Canis lupus familiaris: one gene and its partners. The protein of the gene in region 1 interacts with the protein of each later gene in a pairwise test. Links are inferred from orthologs where the notes say so. Each region holds a gene or a part of one and is shown in the gene's direction. Other genes may lie near its edges.

The links.
Region 2: the proteins of SORBS3 (region 1) and EIF3H interact in binary tests that used the Homo sapiens proteins (3 or more experiments, as listed by UniProt). The two-hybrid records come from large-scale screens. The link is inferred for Canis lupus familiaris from reciprocal best matches to the Homo sapiens genes SORBS3 and EIF3H.
Region 3: the proteins of SORBS3 (region 1) and KIAA0408 interact in binary tests that used the Homo sapiens proteins (3 or more experiments, as listed by UniProt). The two-hybrid records come from large-scale screens. The link is inferred for Canis lupus familiaris from reciprocal best matches to the Homo sapiens genes SORBS3 and KIAA0408.
Region 4: the proteins of SORBS3 (region 1) and PAK2 interact in binary tests that used the Homo sapiens proteins (3 or more experiments, as listed by UniProt). The two-hybrid records come from large-scale screens. The link is inferred for Canis lupus familiaris from reciprocal best matches to the Homo sapiens genes SORBS3 and PAK2.
Region 5: the proteins of SORBS3 (region 1) and VARS2 interact in binary tests that used the Homo sapiens proteins (3 or more experiments, as listed by UniProt). The two-hybrid records come from large-scale screens. The link is inferred for Canis lupus familiaris from reciprocal best matches to the Homo sapiens genes SORBS3 and VARS2.
Region 6: the proteins of SORBS3 (region 1) and SH2D4A interact in binary tests that used the Homo sapiens proteins (3 or more experiments, as listed by UniProt). The two-hybrid records come from large-scale screens. The link is inferred for Canis lupus familiaris from reciprocal best matches to the Homo sapiens genes SORBS3 and SH2D4A.
Region 7: the proteins of SORBS3 (region 1) and CPNE2 interact in binary tests that used the Homo sapiens proteins (3 or more experiments, as listed by UniProt). The two-hybrid records come from large-scale screens. The link is inferred for Canis lupus familiaris from reciprocal best matches to the Homo sapiens genes SORBS3 and CPNE2.

Annotation. Positions count from the first base shown.
Region 1 is NC_049246.1:34,875,055-34,878,554, reverse strand, and holds part of SORBS3 (vinexin), read left to right. Parts: intron 1-407; coding exon 408-498; intron 499-742; coding exon 743-829; intron 830-928; coding exon 929-982; intron 983-1,772; coding exon 1,773-1,859; intron 1,860-2,394; coding exon 2,395-2,441; intron 2,442-2,527; exon of another isoform or gene 2,528-2,546; intron 2,547-2,862; coding exon 2,863-3,002; intron 3,003-3,203; coding exon 3,204-3,256; intron 3,257-3,382; coding exon 3,383-3,429; intron 3,430-3,500. UniProt on the Homo sapiens protein: Vinexin alpha isoform promotes up-regulation of actin stress fiber formation. Vinexin beta isoform plays a role in cell spreading and enhances the activation of JNK/SAPK in response to EGF stimulation by using its third SH3 domain.
Region 2 is NC_049234.1:16,572,273-16,576,348, reverse strand, and holds the start of EIF3H (eukaryotic translation initiation factor 3 subunit H), read left to right. Parts: upstream 1-1,276; 5' UTR 1,277-1,311; coding exon 1,312-1,443; intron 1,444-4,076.
Region 3 is NC_049222.1:66,700,209-66,703,708, reverse strand, and holds part of KIAA0408 (uncharacterized protein KIAA0408 homolog), read left to right. Parts: intron 1-652; 5' UTR 653-756; coding exon 757-891; intron 892-3,500.
Region 4 is NC_049254.1:30,472,215-30,476,316, forward strand, and holds the start of PAK2 (serine/threonine-protein kinase PAK 2), read left to right. Parts: upstream 1-1,302; 5' UTR 1,303-1,409; intron 1,410-4,102. UniProt on the Homo sapiens protein: Serine/threonine protein kinase that plays a role in a variety of different signaling pathways including cytoskeleton regulation, cell motility, cell cycle progression, apoptosis or proliferation.
Region 5 is NC_049233.1:831,961-834,701, forward strand, and holds the end of VARS2 (valine--tRNA ligase, mitochondrial), read left to right. Parts: intron 1-201; coding exon 202-408; intron 409-1,035; coding exon 1,036-1,147; intron 1,148-1,305; coding exon 1,306-1,481; intron 1,482-1,667; coding exon 1,668-1,796; intron 1,797-1,890; coding exon 1,891-1,986; 3' UTR 1,987-2,241; downstream 2,242-2,741. UniProt on the Homo sapiens protein: Catalyzes the attachment of valine to tRNA(Val) in a two-step reaction: valine is first activated by ATP to form Val-AMP and then transferred to the acceptor end of tRNA(Val).
Region 6 is NC_049237.1:22,892,425-22,895,924, forward strand, and holds part of SH2D4A (SH2 domain-containing protein 4A), read left to right. Parts: intron 1-91; coding exon 92-251; intron 252-1,917; coding exon 1,918-2,089; intron 2,090-3,500. UniProt on the Homo sapiens protein: Inhibits estrogen-induced cell proliferation by competing with PLCG for binding to ESR1, blocking the effect of estrogen on PLCG and repressing estrogen-induced proliferation. May play a role in T-cell development and function.
Region 7 is NC_049223.1:58,540,464-58,544,602, reverse strand, and holds the start of CPNE2 (copine-2), read left to right. Parts: upstream 1-1,339; 5' UTR 1,340-1,397; intron 1,398-4,139.

The DNA of each region.
Region 1 (3,500 bases):
ACATACATAGCCACAGCGTGGGTTCAGACTGAACACAAATGTAGCGTATTTCACCAAAACCAGTGGGAAGGGACTGGCCACTCATGGAACAGATGCATGTGTTAGGCCTTCTCCTGGGTGCCTCACATGTGTTCCCTCACCTGAGCTTCACCACACTCTCATGAAGGTGGGTCTCCTCCTCATATTACAGGTATTGAATCTGAGGCTCTGAGAGCTCTGTAACTCACCAACAGGTCACAGCTAAGTGGTGGAGCTGTCATCTGAACTTAGAGCTCATAACTCCTCGATGTAACAGTGCTTTCGCAGGCTGGAACCCATAGTGCAGGGGGATGGGGATGGTGGTGTTCTCACTCATGCCTCAGTCTCCCTAAAAGGAAACTTGAAGAGATGTCCTCCCCTTTCTTTAGAAGAAGCTGGAACCCCTCCGAAGAGTTTCCTAGAAGTACCTTCAACTGTAATCCTGGAGCACCCTCCTCCTTACACCAGACCCCAAAGCAGGTAGCCTGCCCGGCATCCTCTCCTCACTGCTGTGCTCTTGGGCCAGACACCTCTGCTGAAGAGCACAGATAATGAATGCCCTTTCAGTTTGGGGCCTGTCCTATGTAGCCAGGAGAGCCCAGAATCCTTAGGAGGGCACTGGCAGGCATAGAGGTGAGGCAGGGGCCTACAAGCCTGCTTTTTGAGCCTGGACAGTGTCCTGGTACCCCTCTGCTTAAGCTGATGCCCACCTACTTCCATGCAGGTACCCAAACGCCAAGAGAAAGCAGACAATGTCTGGACGGAAGATTCTTGGAACCAGTTTCTGCAAGAACTAGAAACTGGACAGAAGGTAAGTGTCCTCCTGGCCCTCTAAGAGTGAAGATACTCTTTAGCTAGTGCATTTTGGAAAGTGAGTTCACCCCCTCTGACTCACCCTTCCCACCTTTAGCCCAAGAAACCACTAGTGGATGACCCTGTTGAGAAGCCCTCCCAGCCCATTGAGGTGAGTCCTGCAGGACAGGTTGGAGGAGGAGGGAGACAGCTATGCAGGGGGATGAGTGAGGGAGACTTTGGGGTGGTGTTAGCCCCAGTTACCATGGGCAAAAACAGAGACCCAAAGCTCTGACCCTCTCCAGTCCCATACAGTTTGCCTCTGTATCCCCAGCACCTGGGACAGTGCCTGGCATACAGTCTGCCCACAAAGATGTGTTGAATACATGTCCCCTGACCAGAGCAGCAGCAGAGAAAGGAGTGGTCAGTGTGGACTTGTCAGGAAGTATTCTTGGAGGTGGAGCTGAGGTCTCAAGAGTTGGGAGGGCTTGGTTCTGGCAGACAGCCAGCTCAGTGTGAGGGAGATGCAGAAGCAAAGGAGGGAAAGCCGGTGGAGCACAGGCTGTGGAAAGCCGCCGGCAACTTGGTGAGGGAGGAAATAGGGAGCTCTATAGGCTCTGGAACAGGGAAGTGAACGGACAAAAGGCACCAACAGGAAGTACTAAGGTACTATCATGGGAGTAGGGATGGGTGAGCCAGGTCAGATGGGAGGGGCCAGCGAGGAGCTGTGGATGGGCCATCCTGACACCCTGAGACACAGCTCTGGGCAGGCCCACAGGCAGGGAGCCTGGCCTGGCCCTGTGCCCCGAGCCTGCCCTTTACCCAGGCACAGTGTGCTTTGCTTCGTCCTGCCGCCCCCTGGGTTTCTCACATCTGACCTGCGACCAGTGCTCCCCCACCGTGCCCTCCACCCCTCCGCCGCGCCCCGCTGCCCGGGTCTCTCCCCATAAATCCGCCCCCAGGTCTTGCTGGAGAGAGAGCTGGCCAAGCTGAGTGCGGAGCTGGACAAGGACCTGCGGGCCATTGAGACCCGGCAGCCGTCCCCGAAGGTACCGGCCCCCCAGTCCCCTCCCGGATGACCCGGAGTCCCCCGCACGGCCTCCGAGCGTGGGCGGGAGGGGCAGGCAAAGCGGAGGTGTCGCCCCCGGCGCGCTCGGCACGACCTTGGACGGACTTCATCCCGGACTGCTGTCTCCTGTATAAAATGCAGGGCGTTGACTTTTCCAAGTGACCCCTAAGAACCCTTCCAGGCGACTCCACGTCAGCCGGCCGGCGGGGTGCGGGGTGCTGGGGGCCCCCGCCCCCCCTGTCCGCAGGGACCCCCACCTACCCGGGCCGGGTTTCCTGGGCCGGCCTCCACTCTTCCGCCCCGCCCCCGCCCCCGCCCCCGCCCCCCCGCGTTGTTCCTCCCGGGTTCCTGCGCGGCCGACTCTAGGACCCCGCGTCCCTCCGCCCCTCCCGCCCCTCCCCTGCCCTCCCCACCCCTCCTGCGGCCGAGCCGCAAACTTTTCCGGAGGCGGCGGCCTCGGCTGCCGCGGGAACCCGGCGCCCCGGGCCCTGACCGCGCCCCGTGTCCCCGCACAGAGCTCCCAGGCGCCCCGACGGTCCCGGGAGCCGCGGCCCCCAGCGCGGTGAGTTCGCGGCCGGGCGGGGCGCGGGGGACGTGGCGCGGGGCGGGGGGAGCCGGGCGAGGGCGCGGAGGAGGGGCCTGGCGGCGGGCGGGCGGCCGCGCAGGGGTCGGTCCCCGTCCCGGTCCCCGTCCCCGTCCCCCTCCCCGGTCCCCGTCCCCGTCCCCGGTCCCCGCGCAGGGCCTGGGGGGCCGCGGCCCGCGCCCGGGGGAGCCTCGCGCTTCCCACGCGCGCTCCCGCCCCCCGCGGCCCGGGCCGCACCCTGTCCTGCCGGGGCTGCGGGGGAAGTAGGACATCCTGCGGCGAGCCCGGGACGGGGAGACGCCTTGGGGGCGGCGGGAGGGGGGACGCATCCGGGCGGCCGGGGTGAGTGGCTGCGGTGCGAGGCCCCGACAGGTGGCTCACGCGCCGCGTCCCCGCGCAGCCCGGCCTCCGCCTGGAGCACCAGCTCCCCGAATGCACTTTACCAGGGTTCCTCCCGGCCTCTGAGCCCCCACAGAATGGCGGATGGAGCGAGCCCCTTCCTAGGTCGTAGGGACTTTGTCTACCCTTCGTCGGCCCGAGGTAAGCACTGGATCCTGCACTTTTTCTCACCTGGAGGCCTGCCACCGTGCCCCCCCCCCTGCTGTGGGGTTGTGGGGAGCGGGCGGTCATAGAGCACCCTGCTTCCACTGGTCCATGTCCTGGGGTGGGGGGAGCAGAACCCCTTCCCAACCCCGCCCCCCAGACGTGGCCTTCCCCAGCTGAGGTCGCGCTTTTCCACAGACCCTAAGGCCACTGAACGCGGGGCCAGCCCAGTCAGGAAGGAAGAGAAGAAGGTAAGCAGGGATGGGAGCTACTCGGACCAGAGTGCATGGGGATCCAGGATGGATCTCCTGTTGGCTGTTCTGGACCTGCCACCTGCTTGACTAAGGTGCCTGCCTCTGTCCTCTCCCCCTGCCCAGAGGAAAGCTGCCAGACTCAAGTTTGACTTCCAGGCACAGTCCCCCAAGTAAGCGCCCTTCTCTCTCCACCCCACCCCCACCCCACATGTCTCTGCACCCCACGGAGGAGTGGTCTCCC
Region 2 (4,076 bases), on another chromosome or scaffold:
TGTTCATGGCTCAGGATACGGTTTATACCTTCCATGGGCATTTGAAAATAATGAAACAAATGTGTATTCTGTTGTTGGGTGGAATGTTTTTATAAATGTTGATTAGATCCTGTTGATGGTATTGCTGAGTTCTTTTATATTTTTGATGATTTTTTCTCTAGTTGTTCTGTTAATTGTTGAAAGAGGGGAGTTGATGTCTTAAACTATGACTGTGTATATGTCTATTTGTCTTTGAGTTCCAGGAGTTTTTTCTTTACAGAAGCTCAGCTTTGTTGCTAGGGAATACACATTTAGAATTACTATGTGTTTTTGGTGATTGGCCAATTTATCATTATATAATGTCTCTCTCTGTCTCTGGTGGTTTTCTTTGCTCCAAATTCTCCTTTATCTGATATTAATAATATAGCCACTGCTGCATTCTTTGGCGTAATGTTTGCATGATATATTTTCCATCATTTCACTTTCAGTATGCCTATATTACTATGTTTGAAATGAGTTTCTTTTCGACAGCCTATAATTGGGTGGATTTGTACTATGTCAACTTTGCTAAGCTGGAATCATACTTCCTAGAATTCCCTTTCTTGTAGAGTCTGAGCTAGGGTTGGCTGCAGGGGTGTGAGGGAAACAGAGAAGTCAAAGATGACTCTAGGGTTTTTGGTCTAATAAACTGGAAGAATTGAGCTGTCATCAAATGAGATGAGGAAGACTATGGAGGGAGGTGGTATTTGGAGTTCAGTTTTGGAAAGTCTGGGTTGTTAGTCCATGTGGAACATTTAAGTAGAGAAGTTGCATAGGCAGATGGACATGCCGGTGTGGACTTCGGTGGAGGGGTCTAGGGAAAATCAATTTGGGAATTATCAGTTCTGCATAGACATCTCTTGAAGGGGTAAACATTTCAAAAATAAGCAACAGGCAAAATTTGGAAAGACGGAAAGAATGTCTTCATTAAAAAAAAAATTAAAAGTGAAATCGTTTTCAGGCGAGACGCTACCTGCATGAGAGCTATAACGCTGTTACGGCCAACTGACTCATGGAGACTGACTAAACGTGAGGTGGGAAACATCTTTAAAAGTCTACCTGTGTCTTAGAAAGCTTTTGCGGAGCAAGAAGCCGCAAACGCACTTCGCACATGCGCAAAGGCGTTCCCTGGCGGAAGCGTGGGAGCCGGACGAGCGGAGGGAGGCGGGGCCCCGCGCCAGCCTCTCCTCCCGCTCCGCCCCCCGGGCGCCGGGCTGCTCGTGACGTCACGTGGAGTTCGTACTTCCGCTTCCGGCCACTCACGTTTCTCTTTTTTCCTGTCCGGCTGAAAAGATGGCGTCCCGCAAGGAAGGCGCCGGCTCCGCTGCCACTTCTTCCAGCTCCACCACCGGCCCGGCGGGGAAAGGCAAAGGCAAAGGCGGGTCCGGAGATTCGGCCGTGAAGCAAGTGCAGATAGATGGCTTGGTGAGTGGGCTTCCGTTTCGCCGGGTCCACGTGGGGACCTCGGTTCTTCGTCCTGTCCCGCCAGACGCGCTGCTTGGCAGCCTCTCCCTGGGGCCTCGTGAGACTGGGACAGAGTTTTTTTCCCCGAAAACCTTTCTCTTTCATCTTCACTGTTTGTGGGGAGGCGCGACAACTTTCTCTGCCACCCATCGTGGGGGTTGAGGACTTAGGGAACAGGCTAGGGGTGTGTGTGTGACAGATTCTTGGGGTCTTGTCACGAGACGCTTAGATTTGGAGAAAGAGTCGTTTGGAAGACACATAGGGGAAGGCAGGTATCAAGAAGGATCTAGGAATCCACGGCTTTTGGAAGGTGAGGTAAACTTCATTGCTTCTCTGCCTGGGTCTGACATCCGTAACTTCCCAAGTGGAGATTGACTTTATAGCCACTTGTGAGCCGGTGAAGCCGTGGAGTGGGGATGAACATGTCTTATGTTGGCTTCCCCTTTCCCCGTCTGTGCCTGTTGGAGGGCCTCGGGATTGGGGTTTAGGCATCTTTCTATCCGGTCTCTGTTTGACGGGTGTAACCAGAGGAGGTAAAAGCACACTCCTGGAGCCAGACGGCGTGGGTTTGAGTCCCACCTGAATAAGAGGCGCCTGGGTGGCTCAGTGGTTGAGCATCTGCCTTCGGCTCAGGTCCTGGGATCGAGTCCCGCATCAGCCTCCCCACATGGAGCCCGCTTCTCCCTCTGCCTGTGTCTCTGCCTCTCGCTCTGTGGGTCTCTCATGAATAAGTAAGTAAAATCATTAAAGAAAAAATTTAAAATTAGCTGAATGGTATTGGTTAAGTTAATCTTTACATTTATGTTCCTCATTTCGGTTGTTTTGAGGATTAAAATTGGCTTAATATATGTCAGTAACTAGAACAGTGTTCTGGGACATAGTTAATGACCATTTAATCCCTAGTTGCTCAAGTGTTATTATTTGTGTTCCAAAAAGTCACAACAGTAGATACTCCTTAAATTCCTTTCTTGTGGCTTTTTTTTTTTTTTTTTTTTTTAATGATAGGCACACAGTGAGAGAGAGAGAGAGAGGCAGAGACACAGGCAGAGGGAGAAGCAGGCTCCATGCACCGGGAGCCTGACGTGGGATTCGATCCTGGGTCTCTAGGATCGCGCCCTGGGCCAAAGGCAGGCGCCAAACCGCTGCGCCACCCAGGGATCCCCTTTCTTGTGGCTTTAAATATAATTTATATTCTGATAACCTTTAGATTTATATTTCTTGCCAGACTTGGTTTTTGAGTGCCACTCTTGAACACCCCACTCTTTGCCTGACATCCCTATTTGGATATCTTATAGGCATCTCAAATTTTACTTGTCCAAAATAAAAGTATGGCCATGTCCCTTTCCTTCCTTTCTCCTCTTCGGTCTTTCCTTGGTCTCCCGTCCTAGGAAATGGACCTATCATCTATGCATTTGAACAAGTCAGAAAACCTAGGCATTAACCCTACATTTGTTTTTTTTTTTTTTCCTCCGTCAGCAAATCCTGTTAGTTCCACCTCCAAAATGTATCAAATTCCATTTTTTTTTTAAGATTTTATTTATTTATTTGAGAGAGAGAGAGAGAGAGAGAGGCAGAGACACAGGCAGAGGGAAAAGCCGGCTCCATGCAGGGAGCCCAATGTGGGACTTGATCCCAGGACCCAGGATCACAGCGTGAGCCAGAGGCAGACGCTCAACCGCCGAGCCACCCAGGCATCCCTATATCAAATTTCTCTGCTTCTCATCTATATGCCATCAACCATGTCCACTTGGAATAAAATATAGTCTTCTTACCCCATTCTTCAAGGTCCTGCTATTCTAGTCTCTTCTCCAAACTCACCTCCTACTTGTAGACTACATTCCTAGTGACATTTTAGTTCTTTGTTTTCTCCTGAAATACTCAAGTATTTCTTACTACTTGGTGGCTTCTTACGATCCTCGAGGTCCTTGGCTTTATTTTTAATTTTTATTTTTTTAAGATTTTATTTATTTATTCATGAGAGAGAGAGAGAGGCAGAGACATAGGCAGAGGGTGAAGCATGCTCCATGCAGGGAGCCCGACATGGGACTCGATCCCAGGTCTCTAGGATCACACCCTTGGCTGAAGGGAGCGCTAAACCACTGAGCCCCCCGGGCTGCCCTGGTCCTTGACTTTAACGCCGCATTTTAAGAACGGCTTTGCCTACCAAACCTGTCGAAATGTATCTCTCTCTCCATCCTCCTCCATCACACCACTCTGTTTCATAGCATTTTCCACTTCCTGTAACTGTCTTTGTTTTCTTGTCTCCCCCACCAAGAATGTAAGCTCCTGAGGGCAGGCAAGGGACTATGCTCTTTCATGAGTTATGTTTCCAATAGAACCTTTTAGCTGATATGGATAGAATTTAAATGAATGAATAAAAGATTTCATTTTATTTTTTTTTTAAGATTTCTTTATTTTAAGAGGAGGAGTGGGCAGGGTAAGGGTGTGGGTCAGAGGAAGGAGAGAAGCAGACTTCCCACCCACCAAGTGCTAGCTGGCTGTGAGGCTACATCCTATGACCCTGAGATTATGACCTGAACCAAAATCAAGAGTTGGACACCTAAAGACTGAGCCACCCAGGTGTCCCTCATTTT
Region 3 (3,500 bases), on another chromosome or scaffold:
TGGAGACTGCCGCCCAGCACTGCTTCACGACCTTAAGTCGCAGACACATATAATCTCATTGCATCAAAACAGGAGTAATCCTGTTGCAGCAGAATCCACCATGGTTGTGCAGATCCAACCATACAGTTGAATTTCATACTTCCACCCTTAGATAGTCACTCTTAGGTAGTCCATCTTTAGAGGAGGTAGTTGGTTAAACGAATGCTCAGTTACATCTCACATATGCATTCAGCTATGATATTGCTGTCTGATTTCAGAAAGGGCAAAAAAACCATTTGAGCAAGGGGGGAAAACCCATTTGGGCCATACTTACTTTTTGACTATGTTAGTTCTTCTGTTTGTTTGTTTAAATTAATTAAGTAGGCTCCAAGCCCAACACGGAGCCCAATGCATGGCTTGAACTCATGACCCTGAGATCAAGACCCGAGCAGAGATCCCAAGTCAGTGGCTTAATGGACTGAGCCACCCAGGTGTCCCAACTGTGTTCGTTCCTCGTAAGCAGACTCTTCATCATCTCCTCTCTACTCTTAAGTACGGTTTTCCCGTCGTTTGTGTATGTCGATGGCTCTTAACAAAATGATAGCATGCTTCCAAAAAGCAAATGGATTTGGAACTCTTCCTTGTTATGTTTATATTAGGCTTTATTTTAAAGGCAAGTGAGACCGCTTCAAATAAACCAACTCCAAGCTTCCAAGAAACAGTTAAGAAGGCAGAGACAAGCAGAAATACCCCTTCAGTAACACTCACACGGTTGCCATGGCCCTGCATAAGCAGTGGGAGAACACAGAGACCGACTGGCACAAGGAAAAGATGGAACTGCTGGACCAGTTTGACAACGAAAGGAAGGAATGGGAGAGTCAATGGAAAATCATGCAGAAGAAGATAGAGGAGGTACAGATTGATTTGTTTTGACTACATTGACACTTAAAGCTCAGAATGAAAATTCCATTTGAAATTTGTCTTGTATTGGAAACCATTTCTGTTTTCCTCGTTCTGCCTCAGGAAGGCATGTCTCAATGACATTCGCTAGACCAAAAATAGCAGAACCTTATCCAGGGGTATTGAAGGGAGTAGGCCTTTTTTTTTTTTTTTTTTTTTTTTTTTTTTTTTTTTTTTTTTTGATAGCCCGGTATGAAAATGAAGAACTTAAAATGTCCTTCTAAAATGTATCAGTTTATCATGTTTTGACTAAAGTGCCTTGGTATCAAAAGTGGGGAACGTATTTTGCATGAGCTTCAAGCACGAGGCCCAAGAGGAAAATGTAAGAAAAACATAACCGGTGGGATGTATATTAGCAAAATTACAACTGGGCATTAAAATACAGATCTTTTCCTGAGATGATTTATGAATCATGTCTACTAAAGGAAATTACGTATTAGATCACTCGGTGCAATCAAAAGGAGTGTCGTATATCAGAATGGTGGTGGACATGATATTTATTCTGGCAAAATGTGCCACATTTATTGGCGCATTTGTTAGGAAAGGGGTTATGAAAAACAATGTGCCAGGGCTCTGATACAAATAGTCATTTTGTCTCCATTAACCATCCCTCAGCCCTGGAATATTTTCTTGAAGTATTCACATTGATGTATCTTTGAGCTGGTTTCAACTGAAAATTATTTATATTTATCTTGCTTGCCTCCAGTGACATTCATGTTGGGACATGGTTTGTGCACATTGCCAAAGTGATTCTTTAAACAGACTCCTTGGCCTTTTTTCACAGACAATCAAAGCTGGTGCTTTATGTGTTTATAGTGCAAATATTTTTCTTATTAACAGCCGTGTAATCGGTTGTGAACAAAATGTCAATTGGCACACTGCAAGGAAAAATTTAAAAAGAGTAACTGTTAAACTGTTCCATGTTACGGAGCTGAGGAGGCAGGCATGTAGTGTATGAGAATCCCCTGCTCGTACCTCTCTGGTTTGGAAATGTGTTTTGCTTACTCATGTAACTCCTTCACCTACAGACTAAGGGGGGATTAACAGGGAGATATCTATGTCAAGTCAGAATCCAAAGCTCAGGGGTCATTGGTTCCCAAAGGTTTGGAAGGCCAGATAATTCTGGCATCCGAGCCAAAAAAATTAAAGGAGTCAGGATTAGTCTGACCAATTGTTTAAGCCATGTGGCTAAAATAATCTGCTGCTTAAATCCTGTGTTGTCAAATAGCTATGCTGACAACCCCGTAGATTCTATCTATGGTAAATATCCGCCTTTTCGATTCGCAGGCATTAAACGTATCTTAAACATAGGATGGTAGTTTGTAGAAGTGCTCTTCCTTTCTGCATCGGGGAGGTAGAGGGCTGTAAGATTTTTTTCCTCATCTTGAATAGTAGCCACGGTGCTTTCTAGGTCTCTAGTAATATACAGCTCCCTCCAGCCCTGGGAGTGTGTCTGGATAAGGTGCTTCCCCAGAATACCCATAGATGATGCTCCGTAATTCCTGAACACTGGCCTCGTGCTCCTCTTATCATCCGAGTACATAGCTCTTTTCTCCTCACAGCTTTGTAGCCTATAAGAACGTACTTCTAACACGCCTGTCTAATAGGCTACAAACGAGGGTAGGAGAATTTGAAAAAAACGGGAGGAAAGTACCCTCCCATGTCACAGAGAATCAAGACATTTTTTTCCAACTGAAATTAAACACCAACGCACAAAAAATTATAAAATGCTGCAAGCAGAATAGACTGTATTTGCCTAATATATATCGCTAAGGCCTGTATATGGACTCAGACACAGATTAGTAAGCCGTGTACTAGGGAATTATAGATTCCTGCAGGTGCGCGTGTAACTTGACTCCAAGTGGTATCTTCCAGGGAGATCCAGTGTCAAGTGTTAAGATGCTAATGATCCTTCGCTCAGCCACCATCCACAATCATTGCATTTGCTATTGCGAAACCTGGATGTACGTACTTGGATTATTTGAAACCTGGAGTAATCTGGATAGAAACCCTAGAGTTCTTAGGTTTCTAGCAATTTTCTTTTTATCACATTGCAGTCTTTTCTGCTTGTCACCTTTGTTCAAATGATAACCACTGACAAGTGCTAGGTATGAAGTAACACATTTTCTTATACAAAATAAATCTGTTTTCCATCAATAGCATTATATTATTTGCTTATCCATACCTCACTTAAATCTCCCAGAGAATTTAAGATGGTATATAAAATTTTACATAAGGTGAAGTATTTCAAAATAAAACAACAACAACAACGAAGGTGAGATGAAGACAGGAGGAAGGAACTTATGAGAATTGCATGTAGCAAGTCTGTCTTTCCAGGAACGACCGTGAAAATCAGCAGATGCATATTTCTCAATATTCAGAAGACAAAGGCAAACCTGTTTCCCAGGAATAGCACTTTTGTCCCCGATTTTGAAAATGAAGCAATTTTGTTTTCACCCATCACGCCTCAAAAAGAGGACAATGTCACCATAAGCACCCTTAGATTTAAGATGGACTTTTGAGAGTTGCTCCTTAGAGAATCTCCCAAGGTCAGCCCAAAC
Region 4 (4,102 bases), on another chromosome or scaffold:
CTGTATACTACATTTTCCACCAAGCAATCTATTGATCTTAAAGTATAAGTCAGATAACTTCACTTTCCTGCTTGAAACGCTGTAATAGTCCAAACTCGTTAGCATGGCATTCAAGATCCTCCTTGACCTGAATCTTGTCTACTCTAGTGTTTTTTCACAGTACACTACTCTTGCACCGAGCTCAAGCTTCACAGTTCGTCTTAACTGATCATAGCAAGCAAGCCCTTTTCTTCTTCCTTCTGTCTGTAATGCTATCTCCTAGGAGTGTCTCCTGTCTCTCTCCTGTTCTCAGCTTAAATGTTGCCTCCCTAAAGATTATTTCTCTGGCCGCCCAATCCAAAATAATCTCCCTAGTTATCTTCTCATACCAGATATCATTAGTTTAATTATTGTGCTTGCATATTTCTAAGCTCTACAAAGGCAAAGTGACTCATGTTCACCCTGTATCCTTGATGCCTTAATATCATACGTTTTAGATGCTCAAGTGTTTGTAGAATTAGTGAATACATTAATGAACTCCTCCTTCGATAAAACATGAAGGCCGGGCAGCCCGGGTGGCTCAGCTGGTTTGGCGCTGCTTTCGGCCCAGGGCGTGGTCCTGGAGTCCCGGGATCGAGTCCCACGTCGTGCTCCCTGCATGGAGCCTGCTTCTCCCTCTGCTTGTGTCTCTGCCTCTCTTTGTGTCTGTCATGAATAAATAAATTCTTAAAAAAAAAAAATGAAGGCCTTAATTTTCAAGGAGGTGGGATTTTAGCAGCAAAACATAGTAAGAGCTTGTAAATAAAATGCAAAATGGATAAGGGATGAATTTCCAGAAATAAGAGTCCTGAAACAGATTCACATAGCAGTGTGTGGGTCAGCGTCTTTGGCGCAGACTAGAATGGAGACAACGCTAAATTAAACGAGGGGCATGATTCTCTTTTTCAATTCAAAGAACACCGCCCCCCCCCGCCACGCCCTCCGCCGCCAAGAAGAAAAAAAGAGCGCGAGGGAAAGCGAGGCGAGCGGGCTGCGCGTCCGAACTACAACTCCCGGCAGCCCCCGCGCGAGCCCCCGGCCGCGGGGGGCGGGTCTCCGCCCCTGGAGCTCAGGGCCCGGCCGGCGAGGGGCGGTGTCCTGGCCCCGCCCCCGCCCCGCCGGCGCCCTCCCCCAGGCCTGGCCACGCGCGGCGGCGGCGGCTGTTCCGCTTCCCCTCCGGCCCGGCCCGTCGCCATTGCCGAAGGCTCTCTGCCTCCCCGCCCGGCGCCCGGGGGCTCGGCTGCCGCCCGGCCTACGCTCGCCGCGGCCGCGCTCCTGCGCCGCCTGGCCTCCCCGCCCGCCCCGCGCCGGCGCTTGCCCGGGGCGGCTCCGGAGCCCGCCGGGAGTTGGGACGCGGCGCCTCGCTGGGGCGGGGACCTCTCGGCGCCCGGGTAAGTGCAGGGCGGCCGGGGCGCGCTCCCCGTCCTCCGCGGCCTGCCGGCGGCCGCCACCTGCGCGCCCGGAGCCGCGGGCCTGGGGCGGCGGCTCATTGTCCGCTCCCGAGGGCGGTTTCGCTCGGCGGCAGCCGGCGGGGGAAGCTCGCTGGGCAGGCGCGGCCCGGCTCCTCTGGCGCCGGCCCTGCCCGCTCGCGGGCGCCCTCCCGCCGCCGCGCACCTCCGCGTCCCCCTCAGGCCTCGGCGAGTGCGCGTCGGTGCGGACGCCTCGGTGTCGGAGCGCGTGCGGGCCTCGCCGGCCTCCCGAGCCCCCGGATCCTCAGCGGCTCCCGGTGATCTGGGTCAAGGTTGGCCCTTCCCCGCGCGTGGCTGCCTCCAAAACACCACCGCACGCCCGCGACGTGGCCGCGGGGCCGTCGGCGGGCGCGACCTTTTGACCGCGTCCCTCAGCTGCAGTCGCCCCCGCGGCGGGCGGGCGGGCGGGCGGCGCGGGGCTGCGCCCTCCTCGCGCCTTGGCCTCAGCCCGCCGCTCCCCGCCGCCCGCCGCGCCGTCGCTTTCCGCCTCGGCGGGTCCTGCCCGCTCCCGTCGGTGTGGCTGCTCGGGTTCCCCTCCGCGCGTTACCTGCACTCGTTTTCTTTTTAGCCTCTTTGGCGAAAACGCATCGGAACGGTTAGGCCTAAAATTAGACCACGGCGAGCGGTGTTTTGGACCGAGGTTGTGCGCGTCACGTTTCTTCCCCTGCTCTGTCGGGCTCTTCCGCCCTTAGAAGGAGGCAGGATGTGGAGGTGTGCGAGGATCTGCTCGGGGGTTTTGTTTTCGTGGGGTCACCCGGGAGAATTACGTTCAATGAAATTAGATTGGGGTGAAGACAGTGAGTAGTCTTTTTTTTTTTTTTTTTTTTTTAAGATTTTACTTATTTATTCATGAGAGACCCACAGAGAGGGGCAGAGACCAACGCTGAGGGAGAAGGGAGCCCGACGTGAGACCCGATCCCAGGACCCCGGGGTCACGCCCTGGGCTGAAGGCGGCGCTAAACCGCCGAGCCACCCCGGGCTGCCCTGAGTAGTGATTCTTAAAGCAGGTTAGAACTTGTCGACTTTGCCAGAAGCTCTGTGGCCTTTCTAAAACACACACTTAACTTTTTCTTTCTTTCTTTCTTTCTTTTTAATTAAAGATTTTTATTTATTCATGACAGAGAGAGAGGCAGAAGGAGAAGCAGCCTCCACGCAAAGAGCCCCATATGGGACTCGATCCCAGGACCCCGGGATCACGCCCCGAGCCAAAGGCTGGTGACACTCAACCGCTGAGCCACCCAGGCGTCCCGTAACTTCTAAATGACTTTTATGTATATGCGGAAAATCTATATAGGCGTAGACCTATGAATTTGAAAGCTTTGTTCGTGTTCTGTTAATATGGGGTCTTGATTTAAGGCAGCTCTTTCATCCTTGGCTTTTAGGCCTTTCTAGCTATCGCTTAGCCAAGAATACTGACTTCCCGTATGAAAAATGAATGTTAAAATGTTTTTGAGCTGTGATATATGTAGACCCTAAGCCCACTGCAGGGTTTGGTAAAGAGGTTGATCTACATTCAGGGAATTTTGTTTTCACTGGATCCTCCCAACTTTCCCTAAGTGACTGAGTACTGAGCTGTATGTAATACTGTTAGCATTTGACGGTGTCATTTCTCCTTAACTTGAGAGGTGTTGTGTGCCACAGGGGCTAAGGTATGGAAATGTTGGGAGTGTGAAATTCGGTCTGTTGATGTCAGTTTCTCTGCCGGTTCTTCAACAAGGGGGTACTTTTACCAAGGAAGAGTTACTGGATATTCCTCTTCACATAGGGATTTGATTCGTGGTTTACCATTATTCAAAAAGAGTTATTCTTTTGGACTTTGTGACACTTAATAGTAACCTTGCAAACCCCAAATCATAAAGGAACAATAAGTTTGTACTGGGGGTGTATCTGCTAAACAAATGAATAGGGGGGTTCCTGTGGTTCTCTGATCTTTATGATAGGCAGTTTTCCAAATAGGCATGGTTAACAGTGGTGTGTATTTCTTCTTAATTATATATACTTAAAAAAAAAAAAAAAGAGTAGAACTGGCTCAGGTAGCTAAGGATAAACTTTCGATTATACTTTTTAATAAAGAGAACTTGTTCAAATAAAGTAAGTAGGCACTTTAAAATCCTCCCTATGTTTCTTCTGTCAATATCGATTATTCTGCTATTCGAGTATAATGTTTCTTTGACTTATTGAAATTTCTCCTTTTCATTTAAGCTTGAAACTAAGCCCTGTTCAGTGCTTTAAGGCTTCAGGATTCTGATCAGTTTGTTTTCAAAGGCCCTTCCAGTTAGTTAGAGGGCTAATTCCAGACTAGTCAGAAGGTGGGTAAGTTACTTACGAATCTGAGTTGTCACTTGTATCCTTGTACCTGGGTAGAAACCGAAAGAGAAGGAAAAATAGCCCCCCTTGCCCTGAAGAAAATACTGATTGTTTCCTTCTGTGATCAGAATTTTCACTAGTTCTTCATTTTAGGATCACTAACCTACTTAAGGATAGTCCTTCTGAACATTCATGTAGGATTTCAGAGTTCTAGCCTATTATTATCTCCGAGGTACAATAGTACTTACCATTCCATGTGTCTCAAATGGTTAGGTGCTGGGGACCTGGGTTTGAATCATTACTCTCTA
Region 5 (2,741 bases), on another chromosome or scaffold:
GAGACTCCCTGCCATAGATTTCCATTTTTCATTTGCTCCAGAGTGTGTTCTGGGACCGCCAGTGGTTTCCAGGCTTCTGTGTGCTCCCGCCCTTGTTTACCCACAGCATTTTCCACTGGCAGGGCAGTGAATGTGTGGACAAAGGACATGGAGGGGGCCTGGGCCTGGGCCTGTCCCCTGACCCTATGGCTTCCTCCCTAGGAAGCTGTGAAGCCAGTGCTTTCGCACTCGCCCCATCCCCAAGGCCCGCCTCAGGTCCTGTTCTCCTGCGCTGATGTGGGTCTCCGCCTCCTCGCCCCACTGATGCCCTTCCTGGCTGAAGAGCTCTGGCAGAGGCTGCCACCCAGGCCTGGCAGCAACTCTGCCCCTAGCATCTCTGTTGCTCCCTACCCCACCACCCATAGCTTGGTGAGTGACATATCCCTGACGTCTGTGAATGGGACCGTTGGTGAACAGCTGGGGCGCCGGCTTCTCAAAGGGTGTGGTGCCCTGGGGTCATCAACAGTCTTGGTGTGGACTTTAATATAGAGTCTTCAGGGAGGTGAGTAGTTCTTGCAGGGATGTGTTGGGGGCAGCGTACAAGAGCAGAACTACATTGCTATGTGGCTGTGCCTCAGTTTGCCATCTTTAACCAGGGGTAGTAATAGTTCATGTCACAGTTATGATAAGGATAGGATGGCCCCCAAATATCTGCAATTTTAAGCTTTAATAATTTCAGAAGAATAAATGCTGACCAACTCACCCCCAAAATTATTTTAAAGTTGACCTGTTTAAATTTTCTTATGCTTGTTCGGTTTTGTGAGTAACACAGTTGAAATTCTAATTTCCTTTTGGTTGTTTGACATCTTTGATCAGAGCAGTTAACAGACATCAACCACAGATATCTGTTAAGATCTTAGATGTGCCCCAGGTTGTGCTTGAGGTGGTGAATTGTGTGTAGTGGAGACTGGGGTAGGCAGGTGTGGGCTGGAGCCAGGAGGGTTGATAGTGAGTTTCCCCGGATCCTGCTTGTCAGCTCTGGGTCTTTGTCTCTAGGAGCACTGGCGCCAGCCTGCGCTGGAACAACACTTCTCTCAGGTCCAGGAGGCTGTGCAGGTACTGAGGGCCCTCCGAGCCACGTACCAGCTCACCAAGGCCCGGCCCCGAGGTGAGATGGGCCCTAGGTTCCTGAGGCCCTGTGGCAAGAAGGGGTTGGCAGAGGCACGGTGCGAGCCTGGGGGGCAGAGCCCAGAGTTAGGAGGGGCAGGATGGGAAGAGAAGCAAGGTCTCATGCTTTGACCCTGACAGTGGCCCTTTCCTCCTCAGTACTGCTGCAGAGCTCAGAGCCTGGAGAGCTGAGCCTCTTCAAGCCCTTCCTGGAGCCCTTGGCCACACTGGGCCACTGTGGGGCCGTGGGCCTGTTACCCCCAGGTGTAGCGGCACCCTCCGGCTGGGCTCAGGCCCCCCTCAGTGACACCATTCAGGTGTACATGGAGCTACAGGTGCTGAGAGGAGATTGGAAGGGGAAGGGAGACATCGAACGGATGTCAGGAGGAGGGCAAGGGGCGGGTTCTGTAAAAGTGAGAAAGACTCCTGAAAATGGGGTGAGGGAGGTACTGGACGGGCTGTGGGTGAAGCAGAGATGCAGGTGGCACAGAGAAGGCTGAGCCCTCACTGTTCTTCCACAGGGCCTGGTGGACCCCCAGGCCCATCTGGCTCTGCTAGCTGCCCGAAGACGCAAGTTGCAGAAGCAGCTGGATGGCCTCATGGCCTGGACCCCATCAGGGGGAGAGGAAGAGACTAAGAGGCAGCAGAGGGTAAGGCTGGGGGAAGCCTGACTCCCTGAGGGAACGTGGGCTGGAGAGGGTGGGCCTTATATCAGAATCTTCACCTGCTTCTCTTCCCGTCTAGCTTTCTTCCCTCCAGCTGGAGTTGTCAAAGCTGGACAAGGCAGCCTCTCACCTCCGGCAGCTGACGGATGCATGTCCCAGCCCCAAGGAGCTCTGAGCACCAGTTCATTAACCCTGGGGGTTTTCTTCTCCCTCAGACCTGCCTTTGGGACAAACCGATCTGGCAGCGTCAGAGCATGATGGGTCCTCTGAGACCATGCGGCTCACCTCCCTCATTTTGTAAAATGAGGAAACAGACTGGCTTGGTCAGCATCACTGGGTGTCTTTAAGATGTTCACATTCCTGCCCAGCCTTCCTCCTAGGCAGTGCCACCTGGAAGTTTAGGAATGAGATAAACTTTTAAAATCTCAAACATTATGGCCTGTGGTCCTTTTATCCATCTTTCCCTTTGTGGTGACTTTCTTGCCTCTCAATTCTTTTTTTTTTTTTTTTAAAGATTTTGTTTATTTATTCATGAGAGACAGAGAGGCAGAGTCACAGGCAGAGGGAGGAGCAGGCTCCCCACGGGAGCCCGATGTGGAACTCAATCCTGGGACCCCAGGGTCACGCCCTGAGCTGAAGGCAGACACCTAACCGCTGGTCCTGCTTCTCAATTCTTCCCTGAGACTTTGGTCTTAGCCTTGGGCTCTGGGCTGCAGTGGGAGTGTAGGAGCTGGCGGTGCCTGCCTCATTGGAAGAAAGAGCTTCCAGTAGGGTCTGGCCGCAGTGACTCGGGTTCTACCTACTTCGAATTATTGACGGTGCCTTGGCTTCTGCAGGCCCTTCCTCCTCACCAAATGGAAGCTCCTCTGTTCCTTGGTCTTATCTTGGGGGGATGCTGGAGAAGAGCAGGTACTTCTCTAGCCCCGAGGA
Region 6 (3,500 bases), on another chromosome or scaffold:
TCCTGAAAGACCCTAAATATTTTAACGATGGCAAACATAATAACCCATGACTAAAGATACTTGTCCAATCCAAATTTTGTTTTACTTGCAGAGAATGGCAAATCTGTTCATTGGAAACTGGGAGCCGATAAGGAAGTCTGGGTGTGGGTGATGGGTGAACACCATCTAGATAAACCCTACGATGTGCTCTGCAACGAAATCATTGCTGAGAGGGCCCAGCTGAAAGCAGAGCGGGAAGCGGAAGAGCTCAGGTACGAGATCTGTAAACCAGTGAGAGGCTGGCCACATATAAAATCATACAAAGGGGGGGGAAGGGAATAAAAATAAATAAAATAAAATCATACAAAGATTCCTCTTTTTCCCAGTATCTGCAGGGTGAGTAGATTGGGGCCTGAGAGTCACAAAAGTAACTTTAAATCCCTCTGGCAAGTTTCTTTATACTTTTCATGGTTCCCTTCATTCCCACAATGTGATCACATTAACCATTTTACCTCCTCACTTGTCATCCCAGTTTTGATCTGGATGTGGTTCCCCCATGATCAACTGGCTTCACTAGAATCATGCTGGAGCACCGCAGGCTGGCACAGCTGAGCATCGGAATATAAGTGAGAGGTGCAACATTGTTCAAGCTTTGGGCCTTCAAACAAGATTGGTTAGAGAGGGCAGGCCTCTGGGTGCTTACATGTGCCAGGTGGTAGGGATTCAAAGGTGAACGACAAGCTACCAGTCTAGGAGAAGAAACAGGCCAGTACACGATTAACTTCAGTCAGGACGGGCTGTGATTCATGCTACAACTAAGTTATAAACAGAGCATTAACTGAGCCCATTATTCCAAACCACAATAGAAGTGAAATCTGAATTGAACCTTGAAAGATAAGTAGAGTTTTCCAGCCGCAGAATGTCAGGAAGGAGATGGCAGGGAGAGGACATGATGAAGACCCCTAGTTTTGAATGTGTATGGTTCTTTGAGTGACAATGAGTTCTTCCAAGTGTTTGGGGGTATACATGAGCAAGTAGCAGGAGACAGAGGGCTGTGCTCTGAAGTGCCTTGGAAGCCAGATTTAGGACTTTGGACCTTATTCTGTGGACGGTGGAGGTGTTTGAATAAGGGAGTGACGTGATCAATCAGAGATATAGGATAACTCAGCTGGTAGTGGTGAGGCAGATGATAGATCTATCCCCTCTGCTAGGGGCCAAGGTGGCTTCTGTGAAGCCTCTTATCCCTTGAGTATTGACAGCCCTATCTGAGCTTATGAGATAGACAGCAGACATATGGACCTCAGTTCAGGTCCCGAGGGCTAGTGATGCTGCCCATCAATTCCTATAACTAAAACTATAAATGGGCATACAGAGATAAAGTAGTTATGTGCTGCTCATCATAGGAAGGCAGGGTGCTCTAGCAGACTAGCTTCTGAACAGAAGTTGGGCAGACCTGGGTTCAAATCCTGGCTGTGCCACTATGTGGTCTTGGATAAATAATACAATTATTTTGAGCCTCTTGCAATCAAGCAAGGATAACACAACCCCTTCCTTATAGGGTTATTATGAGGATTAATTAATGCATTTTCTTTTTTAAAGGTTTTGTTTATTTATTAGAGAGAGCACTCACGCAAGCAGGAGGAGGGAGAGAGACAAGCAGACACTGCACTGAGCACGGAGCCCAAAGCAGGTCTTGATCTCATGACTCTGAGGTCATGACCTGAGTCAGAATCAAGAGTCAGACACTTAACCAATTGAGCCACCAGGTGCTCCTAAATTAATGTCTTTAAATACTAGCAAAGGGCTTAACATATTATAAGCACTTAGTAAATGGTAGCTGTTAGTGTTTTTCACATAATTTGAATGTAGGCATCTGCTTTGGAAAAGCTGTCTGTGTTGGAGAATGTTTTTTATAATTCCACATTTGTTTCTCTTCAGAAAAACTCAGTCCAAAGAATTTGCCAATAGCTTGAAAATGAAATCACAATATTATGATCTGCAAGCACCAGATACCCAGGAGACTCACAGTATCTGTAAGAAAGCTGCAGAAGAAGAGGAGCTGGGGAAAGGCTCTCGACCATCACCATCCCTTGAAGAAGAGAAAATCCCAGTGAGTCTTTCATATGTGTAAACATGAGAATTTCATAACCAGAGGAGTTAGAGATATTGGGACACTGAGATGAATGTAGCTGAACAACAGGATCTCAAACGTTTCTTGGAAGAATCCCTCCCAACTTGAAGGTCCTGGTGTTCATTTCATTTTGGGGAATTTGGCTCACCTGCTACTTCACACCCCCTTTTTTCATGAGACTGAAGGCATAAAGAAAGAACTCCAGGAATAAAGTTTTACATTTTAAGATATTTTCAGGGTTTATTTTTCCCTGATATATTGTCTTCTATAACAGAGGTGGGCAACTTTTTTGTATGTGTGAAGGGACAGATGGTAAATACTTGAGGCTTCGTAGACCATACGGTCTGTCACAACTACCCAAGTGAATAGGTGAGGCTCTGTTGTGGTAAAACCTTACTCACCAAGACAGGGCCAGGTTGGCACCCAGGCTAACTGACCCCAGGCCCAGGACGCTGACATTTTTGTGATGTTTGGCTTCACAGACCTTGCCTGTGACTGTGGGGACCATTATTTCCTCAACACAATAGAACTTTACAATCAGAGTTGGTGTGAATTCTCTTGTGTGTCAGTTGGTTTAAAGAGCTCAGACATCATTTGCTGCTTAGATTATAGTTTGGAAGAACAATAAAACTATATTAATGAAGTACCTTCTTCTGCCAGGAATTTAATTAAACTAAGAATTCACAGGGGATTTGTAGTTTGACTTGCATTCAGGTCCCCAGCTCCATGACACTAGGCGCGTGGCTCTTGACCTCCATGAGGCTCTCAGACAGGGCTACAGTCATCTGTTCTTCCTACTTCATGGGCATATTATGTGGCAAGGCACACTGCTGAATGTCTCATTTAATTCTCTCAATGACCTTTTTTTCCTAGGGACTGTATTTGTCCATTTTATAGGTAAGAAAACAGGATTAGAGATGCCCAAGGTCTCATAGTTGACTGAACTGGGATTCAAACAGAGGTCTGCAGGACCACTAGGTCATTCCTTAACTATTGCATTTGATTGTCTTTTTAAATGAGGAATGTGAAGAGGCTTTATAAAGGGCTGCAAATATGAGGCTCGAAATATGTAGGGGCATAAAATTCTAAAATTTGGTTTATATCCCAGGGTCAGAACTGGGTCCTTTCCTCACATCTGCTGCTTTGTACTCCACACTTAATACCAAATTCCCTCCTTTTCTAGCACCCCTAAAATGAGAAACAAAACAGCAAGATCAAAAAACCTCCTTCAAAAGCATCGAGTATCCATGCTTATCCTTGTGCTTGAATTATAGTATTTCCATAGAAAAAAAAATGTTTTCAAAAGCAGGACAAAAGATTAAAGTAGAAGTTAAAGTAAATACCATGGCTATTATTTTGCTATATCATCAATATTACAGGGATTGTATTT
Region 7 (4,139 bases), on another chromosome or scaffold:
AGATCAATCCAGCAAGGCTTCCTGGGGGAGGTGGGGCTGGAGCTGGATCTGACTGGTTTGCCTCAGAGCTGGGCTGAGGGCTTTGAAGACTCGATGGAGGAAAGGCGAGGAGAGCTTGGAGGAAGGGAAGGATGGGCTGGGGGATAGGCAGGCAGAAAACAAAGCTCAGAGCCCTGGGGTTTTTAGTGGTTGCCCCTCTAAGGCTGCAAAGTGCCTGTGACTCAGACTGGAGGGAGGTTCACAGGCTGCAGTGTGAGTCTCCTAGTTAACCCTCTCCTACCTGGAATGGAAAAACCACAACCCAAGTGCCTCCTGGTCTTGGAGCCACAGAGACAAGGGCTTTGGGACAGGGCCGTGAGATCCCCCACAACCTGGTTAAAAGCCCTCCGAAGCCATGAATTGGAGGCGTGTGTGTGCACATAAACACCGCTGGGTGGTCTGCAGCAGGAGCCCCGGCGACAGATGCATTTCTTAAGAACTGATGCTTCTTCTAGGGTAAAAGAAGGCCTTCGCAGGAAGAGGTGGGCTCGATGCCAGGGCCTCAAGGCCCCCCTTAATTATGCTCCCGCTACCTAGCTCCAGGCAGTGTTGAAACTGTCTTTATCTTATCATCTCTGTCAGAGAAATCTGTGTCATCTTCCCAGTGTCTGGCGACTAGAAAATGCCGAGCTCTTTTACCATTGGGGGTGGGGGGAACACTGCGGTCCTAGTGCTGGTCAACACGGCCGAACCTTGCCCTGCGCTGTACCCCCGAGGGCGCGGCGCAGGCCCCGGGGCTCGAGGCCGCAGGCAGCGCGCTGGGGTCCCCCAGGCCCCGGCTGAGCCCACCTTCGGGTCCCGCGTCCGCGGCCCGGGGCGCACGGTGCCCGGACCTCGCAGGCGCCCGCGGTTGCGGCGAGGCCCGCCGGGAGGGTGCGAAGCAGCGGCGCCGCATCCGGAGTCCCAGCCTCGAGCGATCGGACCCTCGGATTCGGGCCTCGAGCGCTCGGACCCCGGGATCCGGCCCCGAGAGCCCCGAGCGCCAGGGCGCGCCAGCCGCGGGCTCGGAGCCGGGGCGGCGGGCGGGACAGCGCCTCCGCGCCGCCCGCGGGAGCGCTCGCCCCGCCAGGAAGCGCCCGCCTCGCCTCCCCACTCCCTCCGCACCCCCGCCCCCTCTCGGCCGGAGGGAGGAGCCGAGCCGCCGCCGCCGCCGCCGCCGCCGCCCGGAGGAGCGCGGACCCCGAGCGGCCGGAGCGCACGCGAGCTGGCGAGGGCCGCGCGGGCAGCACCCTGAGCCCGTCCCGCGCCCGCGGGCCCCGCCGAGCAGAGGAGCGCCCCGGGATGCCCCGGCGGCCCGGAGCGCGGGCAGCGGCAGAGGCGGCGGCGCCGTGAGGGCGGCGGCGCCCGCGGGACCCGCGGTGAGTGGGGCCCGGGCGGCCCGGGGCGGGAGCGGGGGGGGCGCCCTGGCGCGAGCGCTAAGTTCGGCCTTGGGGCTCGGCTTCTGGCGCGGTGGCGGGCCGGGAGGAAGCGGGGTCCCGCCGCGGGGGCCGTGGCGCCCCAAGCCCCCGCCCCCCGCGCGCCCCCAGCGGGGTGACTCAGCTGCGACCCGGCCACGCGGGGGCGCTCCGGCTGCGCCCCGACCGCCGGGGGCAAAGCGGGGAGGTGCGGGAGCAGGGTGGCGCCGCTCGGGTCCGAGCCCAGCCCAGCCGTTGGGGGACTCGCCTGCCTTTCCCGCAGGGAGCCTGGGGGCGTTGGGAAGGTAGAGCCTCCGCCACGGTCGGAGCTGCCGAAGACTTGAGGTCGGGCTGGCTCGGGGGGCCCCCGCACCCTGCTTTCAACCCCCAGGATCCCCGCCGCCGCCCACAGCCTGGGAGCCAGCTCCCAGCCCTGGAAGAGGGAGCGGAGCCGGGCAGCTTCCCAGAAGTCGAAGAGTGTTTGCAAACTAGTTTTTTCGCCAAAGCTGTCTGGCACCTGTGTGGTTAAGGGGGTGGGGTGGGGGGGACAAGGGGAGAAAGAAAGAGCAAGGCTCCTGCTTCCTTTGCGTTCCGAGAATAGAGGTGCCTTACCCCCTCCTCGCACCCCGCCGGATCCCCCAGCCCCGCCCTCCGCGCCCTCCGTGGACGAGCCCCTCGGAGAGGGGCTGCTTCGAAGGGGGCCGTGATGTGCGCAGGATCACAAGTGGGGCTGGACCCCAGAGCTCTGGTAGCCAGTTGAGGGCTCGTCCTGCTGCCTGTGATTCTCCCAGCCCCGTTATGTATCCGGGGAAGTGACACCGGCAAGGCATCTGGGAGAATTAAGAGCGGCCTTTGTTGTTTTTGCCTGCCTCCGGGTGTGGGCTGTCACCCATGGGTGGAAGGCTTTTTCCATTCCTTGGGGCACCCACGGCTTCAGTAATGGGAGGAGGAACCCCTTTGTAACCTTCAGCAGCTGCAGCCTGCCGGTGGCCAGTCTCCCGAGCAGCTTTGGGAGACCTGGGTGGGAACCGGTGGCCTGGGGGCCACTCCAACCCCCTGAGCCTCCCGCTGCTTATCTGTAAAATGGGCTAATCATCAAGGACTTGTGTGCCTGGAAGCTGGACACAAACAGAAAGGAGTGGCTTTATTGCAAACCCTCTGGCGTAGGGCCTGGTGTGCTCTGGTCCTGCCCCAGAGAGTCAACATAGCTGGCCACTGGGAGGGGTCACCCAGGCCGGTTTCTCCATGGAAAGAACCAGGGACCGAGAATGTTGACGCTTGGATCCTCCTTGCCCCTGCCACTTCCTGTCTGTGCTTTCTGGCCCGCTGGGCTCGGACAGAGGTTTTCCATCTGTAAAATGAAGCAAACTATGCCACGTTCCAGCTTATAGGGCTGCTGGGAGGCTGGAACTGGGAGACATGGGTTCTGCAAAGTGGGGTGCACTGCGTGAATGGCATGTGCAGTGTTTCAAAGTAACCCTCCCTTCCTGGGGGCTGTGAAAATTTAAAACTCAGGGCCAGGAGGTCCAGGAGGGCCAGGGATACAGCATCAGTTTCTACACCTGTAAAGCAGTGAGAACAATACTTTATATACCTTTATAATCTTTTAGGGTAATTGTGTATTTATTTAAAGGTAGCTGCGAGAATTGAATTGGGTGATAAAGGGCTCACGTGCCAGCATTGTGACTGGTCAACTGAAAAGCCCCAATCTCTGTTGACTGTCAGTATCATTATTCCTGGGAATATCCATAAGCCCCCAAACCCAAGGAGTGTACTGAGGATGCCTTCTGGGATTTTCTCAGGCCAAACTGCTCCTCCCCCTTCTCCTGCCTCCTCCCTGGAGAGAGGAGCCTCAGAAGCCAAGTGTCAGACTTCTGAGCCGTTCAAAGTACAGAGTCCCAAGTGGGAAGGAGGATACCAAGAGGGATAGTGGATCCGATGGTTGCTCCCATTCCTGCTCCTTGGGCTGGCCTCTCAGGGCTCTAAGGAGTGACAGAAAACAGAGGAACATTCTCTGAGAATTCCTTCACTCCTGTCGGAGCAAGGTTTCCTACTGAGAAGCCCTCAGCCCAGGGCCAGGGTCCCATCTGCCTGATGGAAGATCCCTCCCCCCGAAACCCTTACAGGGGCTGCTGGATCAGGGGCAGTCATTTCAGGAATCCAGCCTCCTCTCCTTTGGAGAATTGGCCTCAGAAAGGGGGCAGGATCCTCTCCCCCTGCCCAGCCTCTGCCTCCCACAGGACACAGGATGGACTCTGTGGGAGCCAGGAGGCTGGGTCACCCTAGGATCTGGGCAAGCAGCAAATGAAGAAAAAGATGATCCTGTCCCATCCCCACTGTGCAGAAGGAGATTAGGGGGGCCTCAGGGGAGTCATGGCCTCCTAAGGTCCTGCACTGCCTAAGGAGTGGGTGGGGTTGCCTCCTCGTTCTCGGCCCAGTGCCCTCTCCCCTCCGTGAGCCACCCGGCCTCTGCGCCCACGGCGTGGTCAAGTGGACTTGTTTCTCCACTGGCTTTCCGGGGTCTGAGATGAGGCTAATTAGCGGCTAATTGCGTACTCATTGGGTATCACCTTGCCTGATTTTTCTCAGGGCAGGAGCCACCTTCTGCGGTCATCTTATTTATTCATTTGTGTTTCAGCTTATTATCTGCCCCTCTCCCCAAAGAGTGCCCCCCCCCCCAGATGGGTGAGGCCCATGTCCACCTTG